Oryctolagus cuniculus: one gene and its partner. The main gene of each other region encodes a partner of the protein of the gene in region 2 in a complex. Links are inferred from orthologs where the notes say so. Each region holds a gene or a part of one and is shown on either strand. Other genes may lie near its edges.

Evidence for each region. Proteins that work in one complex are often made in the same cells at the same time.
Region 1: NAA50 (region 2) and HYPK share a complex: the UniProt entries of both Homo sapiens proteins name them as parts of the N-terminal acetyltransferase E (NatE)/HYPK complex. The link is inferred for Oryctolagus cuniculus from reciprocal best matches to the Homo sapiens genes NAA50 and HYPK.

Annotation. Positions count from the first base shown.
Region 1 is NC_091443.1:66,686,291-66,689,108, reverse strand, and holds HYPK (huntingtin-interacting protein K), read right to left. Parts: upstream 1,690-2,818; coding exon 1,528-1,689; intron 1,179-1,527; coding exon 1,123-1,178; intron 803-1,122; coding exon 751-802; intron 597-750; coding exon 501-596; downstream 1-500. Other genes in the region: SERINC4 (serine incorporator 4), read left to right, coding at 2,544-2,818. UniProt on the Homo sapiens protein: Component of several N-terminal acetyltransferase complexes. Inhibits the N-terminal acetylation activity of the N-terminal acetyltransferase NAA10-NAA15 complex (also called the NatA complex).
Region 2 is NC_091435.1:69,729,790-69,733,289, forward strand, and holds part of NAA50 (N-alpha-acetyltransferase 50), read right to left. Parts: intron 1,964-3,500; coding exon 1,786-1,963; 3' UTR 1-1,785. UniProt on the Homo sapiens protein: N-alpha-acetyltransferase that acetylates the N-terminus of proteins that retain their initiating methionine. Has a broad substrate specificity: able to acetylate the initiator methionine of most peptides, except for those with a proline in second position.

The DNA.
Region 1 (2,818 bases), on a different chromosome or scaffold from region 2:
AATGTAGAATGTGTTACAGTTCAGAATTCAAATCTCCCATAGATCAATTCTGTGTCAGGCCTTTCTGCCCCTCTTCTTTCCATGGTTCTGCCTGGGATACCTAAATTCTAACTTAAACTGGCCTGTGAACTGAGTTGGTAACCTGTATCTACACAATGGCTACAAGGCTGGTGCTGGCCTTTCAGCTATTAATAATAAGCTGTCCTGGAGACACATGCCATGGAGTACAGTAATCGCTGTGTGCTTGCTAGTCAGATAAATGGGACTGGCCAGCCACCTACTATGTGCATCTGAACACAAGGAACTCTTCTACGCCAATTCTTGGGTTGTGGGGAAGGAGGAGCGTCATTAAATTCATTTATATTTCAACATATATATGTTTGCCACAACAAAATGTGATGTACAATGCACTTGATCCAAGATGATAAAAACAGCAATAAAGACCAAAACATTTTTATTGCAATAAATTAAGCCAGTAAGTATGGGTAAGAAAGCACTGATCAGTTGGTTAGGGCAATAAGAGCCTCGACCACATTGCCCATGTGTTCCCGCAAGCTCCGTTCTGCTGCTGCTCGAGAGATCTCCATCTCGGTCATCTGCCGGAAAAGGATAGATCATGTTACCCACGTCTCCTCCCTGGCATTAATGTGCCACCAGACATGCTGACCGATTTCTACTAGTTGCAGGAAACAGCCCAAATTAGGCAGAACCACCTTCCCTGCCCTAAACTAGTTAGGCATTACTACTCACTATCAGCTCCAAATCTTCCTTCTTGATTGTGACTTTAGCCAGTTCCTTCTCCCTGCAAATATTTAAGTGTGTTAGTCTCTACTTCCACCATAAACTCGTAGGGAGAATTATCAGCTGGAATCCGCAGATAAATGGATCTTGAAAAACAGGGTGACAATATAAAATGACTCCCACCATTCCTGCCATTCCTTCCCTCTAAGAGGCTTCTGGCAGGCAGGTGTTGGCCAGGACACCTTTCTTCCATTAACAAAAAATCTCTAGGTCTGCAGGAATTGGTGGTAGACTTGAAGCACGGTACAAAGACATAGCAATGGTCTTTAATGTCTGAGGACGGAACTGGTAATGCTGCCCGGCTGTGCACTCAACACTTACCGCTCTTGTTTAGCCTTCTGCTCCCGGGACCGTCTGTCTCCAATGACTGACATGGCCTATGGGAAAGAGGTCTTGTTACTACTTCGCTACCCACACTCCCCAGTGACCTTTTTAAAAACCCAGTAACAAGCGACACAGGATGTATGCTTGATGGCCAGCGCAATTGGGATCCAAGCACCACGTTTTATTCAATTGTGTTACTTCTCCACCTAAGATTAGTATCCGTCAAGCTCCCCTTGGCAAGAGGCGGGCTCCGGTGACCTCCGCTTCCCCTGGCACTATCCTCTACCCTACTGGCTCCTCCCGCCATCGGGATCGGGACGCCCGTCTGCGCGGGCTTCCAGCTACCGGCTCAGAAGCCCCTCTGCTCTCAGCCCGCCCAGACGCACTCGCGGCCAACCTCACCGTCTCCAAATTGGAACTCTGGATCTCCTTCTCTTCCGCATAGTCGGTGACCCGCTCCAGGTCCGCCGCTCCACTGTCATGCTTGCGTGGCTTCTCAGGAGGCCTCTCCGGGCCGCTGGTCTCAGTCTCTAATTCCAGCTCCACGTCCCCCTCGGTCGCCATATCTACTCCACCGCGCCGCCGACCAGCCACGCCTCACGGCTTCCGGTACCTAACCAGCGACTTCCGCCCAGGGGAGGCGGGGCTGGCGCTGGGCCACACCTTCTTTATGCTGCCGTTCTAGAAGCTTCAGCGGGGAAGGCGTTTCCCTTCTCAGACTTCCTTTCAGACGTGTAGCAGTGTTTTTAGCAAGGCTTCACCCCAGATGTAACGCATCACCGCTCCAAACCAGCCCAACCCGATAGCTTTTCGTCTTTCTCCCTTAGCGCAGAAACAGTTCCTCTCCTCCTCCCTTGCCCCAGGGAACCGTTTGCCCAGGTTGGATGAGGTCTAATCCTAAACCAATTAAGAATGCTAATCCGCAGGAGGCTCCCTAATCTGGGGAGAACTGCCTAAGTGGGCGAGGCCCTGACAAGGAAGCACTTTCACAGGGGTATTTGCATTTACCACATCCTGGAGAGCAGTGTTCTTTTCCTGATGTCCCCATGCTGCCTTAGACCGGGAGTTCAGCCCCAGCTAAGCAGCAGGCCAATAGGATGAAGACAAACTGCTGCTACTTTCTCATCTACCTTCTTTTCATCTGGAGGACCTGGGCCTAATCCCAAGGACAAAGACGATGGGTCCAAGGGCTGACAAAGGCCCCAGCACCTCCCTGGACCTGGCGCAGCAGCGCAGCGGAGTCGGCAATGTCACAGTGAAAACCCACTTCTCCCAGGTGAGAGGGTGCTTGGCAAGACAGACAAGGAAAGCTTCCTTAAACAAGGGCTATATGAAACACTGTTAAGTGTAAGGGTGGCTGAAGCGGAGAAAGAAAACCTGTGGAGGCCAATAAAAAATGACAGGCTTTTCCTCTTGTAATGCCTGTTTTTTTTGCCTCAGTAAACTCCCTCTTCCCAGCCCCAGATGTTTGTCTAAGGAGTCTCAAAGATCTTGGAAAAACGGGGGGATTTCAGAATTCAACCTTAAGGGTTCCCCTCACACATAAATTAATCTACCCCCTTCCTCAGCAGTCTCCACCTTGCAGCCTGTATCTGCTCTGTCCCCAGGTGTCCTGCTGTGGGGCTGTTCCTAGTTCCAGCTGCTGCCACCCTGGCTGGCCGACTCTAACAGACTCTACCTGTAGCCGCCTGTT
Region 2 (3,500 bases):
TTAAACGTTTAAGAAACTGATACCCTAAAAACCAGTATGGTCTTTTCTACATTTAACTATCTGGAGTTTAGAACCCTATAAACTCACTCATCAATTATCTTTCTTTTCTGTATTATTCTTGGCACTCAATTAAGTCTGGCAAAGTCTACTGTACTTTGTACTTTCACATTCTCAAACAAAAACTTAACATTATAAAGTGTACATAAGCACTTTGCATAATAATTGTCATTTAACATATCTGGAGATGAAACCTCATACCAGCATTTACAAAACAGGATAAGTATTATGAATCAATATTCCACTTAAGTCCAAGCCCTGTACACTGTTTTAAAGTTTAATGAGGGCATTTTTGGGGTCATCAGTACTGGCAATCTGTTCTAAATATTGGAGATGGGACTATGGGAGGAAAACATGAATATTTCAGATATCTCCTATCTCACAAAACTCAATCTGTCAAAGTCACTCACTAAGTGCCAGAAAACTATCTGGCATAAACCAGTCATATCAGTAGAAGAGGTCACAGTGATATCTGCATTATTAACACTTTGTACTTCTACTTTTCCAAGAATAGAAGCACTATGTTTCACAATTCCCCTTACCCAAAATTCTTCAACTCAAAATACATAGGCACAGAGTCTAAGCAAATCTGAGATGTTCTCCAACAGATAAGGTATATCACAGCTATGTTATTCTCAAAAATACTGTCTAGATATTCTTACCTGTATTATCAAATGATTGATGGTCACACTTTTAACAGCCTGCATTAGTCAACATTAAATGCATTTATTGTGCCACAAGTACATCTATGCTTCCTTTTTAGGTTATTTTTTAATATGTCCAAGAAGAAACATCTGCTTAAGGATTACTTAAGGGCATTGACCTATAAGGACATCAATTCCATTTTTAATACGAAACTATTACTGGATTTACTGAAGAAAAAGAAAAGGAGAAAAAACTTAAATCACAACAAACTTCTTTAGGTCAGTTAAAGGCCATATCTCTAGCTGGGATATTAAAGAAAAATTAATCTCACCAGCCCAACTCTCAAAGTTAATGCCACTAGTAACAATCAACAGCAGGAAAAAAAACCTGCTAACAAGCCCACTCATTAACAAAAAAGCAGTTTAATTCAAATACTTAAACCAAAGTATAACACTACCTACCCAAACTGCCCCATCCACCAACAAGAGAAGAAATAAATTGCTTTAGAAACCAAAATAAACTTAGTACTTCTAACAAGGATAACAATGGTTCAACTCCTGAGAGTGCTCAGAAGGAAGGACTAAAGGTGGAGTGAAGGCAATGTCAAGGGATTAATCCCCCAAATAGTCTTTAAAAATTCAAAGTACCACAAACACACTAAACTTGTCTATGAATTGGAGAACAAGATATTGCTGCTGCTTTTTGTCTTTTGAAATGAAAGGTTTTGTAGGCTCTGACCTTCAATGTGAAAGCAGGACATTAAAAAAAAAATCAGCTAAAAAATTTGAAATTATGACACCCAAATTTTTGGGACCATATATCTTAACTATGAAACTATACATATCTACCTTCTCTTTCCTTCAATCAAACCACCTCACAAAAAATAAGAGAACTAAAACAATCCAAACATGATTATTTTTGAAAGTCCTTGAAAGAATGAAACTTCTAGAAGAAAGGAAAGAAAGGGGGAGAAACAAGAACAAGGAAGGAAGAAAGCTTTAAAGGAAAGGGGGGGGGGGGAATCAATGGGCCTTTCTTTTATTTGGCGACAAGCAAGTGCAAGAAAGTTCATTTGTAATTTGTTCAGTTGTCTGTCTTTTGCACATCTGCATTCTGACCAGAAGGGACTTTGAGGTTTTTCTGTAGCACGTGAGCATCTGCTGGCTCTATCCTCTTATAGTAGTTCTTCTTTGTCTCAATAATCTCAAAGCCAAATTTCCTGTAGAAGTCAATTGCCGATTCATTGCTGATCTGCACATGCCTGAGGGATAGAATACCAGGAAAAAAAAATCAAAGTTCATCAGTTCTCCAGATAGTGTCACATTGTCTTTAGTTATCAGTATGCAACAAAGATTAGGCAAGTATTTCAGAAAAACTCTGGGTGACAATTTTACACTTTTAACTTAATCCCTACATTTGCAAGACAGATGGCTGAGATTAAGAGGCTCAATAATAGTGCTTATTCCTGCAGTCAACAAAGGTATGTAATATACCCTAGAAATCATGATTTTTTTTTTTACTGTAAAAAGAGAAAAGACAATAAAGATGATTCAAAGGCCTCCATATTAACACTTGCAAAAAAGAAAAAAAATCAGGGCCTCAAATGCCTAACTATACCCTCTTTCTGACTGATTATAAAAACATGCTATACTGTGAAAATAATCTGTGGTCTCTTTTTTTCAAAGATTTATTTTATTTACTTGAAAGACAGTTACAGAGAGAAAAGTCTTCCATCTGCTGGTTCACTCCCCCAGATGGCCGTGACGGCCAGAGCTGCACCGATCTGAAGCCAGGAGCCAGGAGCATCTTCCGGGTCTCCCATGGGGTGCAGGGCCCAAGCACCTGGACCATCCTCCACTGCTCTCCCAGGCCACAGCAGAGAGCTGGACTGGAAGCGGAGCAACCGGGACTAGAACCTGGTGCCCATATAGGATGCCAGCACCGCAGGTGGAGGATTAACCAAGTGAGCCACAGCATAGGCCCCATCTGTGGTCTCTTGAGATCCAAGTATAATTATAATCTGATTTTGATGAATAAATTCTACTACAAATATGCACATCACTAATAGCCTTGAAAAAAACATAGAAAGTACTAATAGTATATGGCATGAGAAAAGCAGTATTAATCATTTTGTACTATGCAATATGTGAGTCTTAATCCTGGTTTCATTCCTATGACTTTGGAACTCTTACCTGATTATCAAATAGCTAGCTATATCAAGTTTCTAATCTATTTTTAAAAGCAAACAAAACACATAAAACTTCATAACAGGGGCTGCTGCTGTGGCACAACACGTTAAAGCCCTGGCATGCAGCACCAGCATCCCATGTAGGCGTCAGTGAGTCTCGGCTGCTTCACTTCCAACCCAGCTCTTTGCTATGGCCTGGGAATGCAGTAGAAGATGGCCCAAGTCCTTGGGCCCCTGCACCTGCGTGGGAAACCTGGAAGAAGCTCCTGGCTCCTGATGGCCAGCTCCAGCTGTTGCGGCCATCTGGGGAGTGAACCAGAGCACAGAAGATCTCTCTTTATCTCTCTGCCTTTTCCTCTCTGTAACTGCCTTTCAAATAAATAAATAAATCTTACAAAAAAATTCATAACTATACTCAGCCCTCTATATGCACAAGGTCTGTACCCACAGACTTAACCAATCAAGGATGGAAAATATTCAAAAAGAAAGCACATCTGTACTGCTCATTATTTTCTAGTCAAAAAATGACAACTATCTACATAGCATTTACATCATATTAGGTATTCTAAGTAATGTAGGGATGATTTAAAATTACACAAGAGGATGTGCA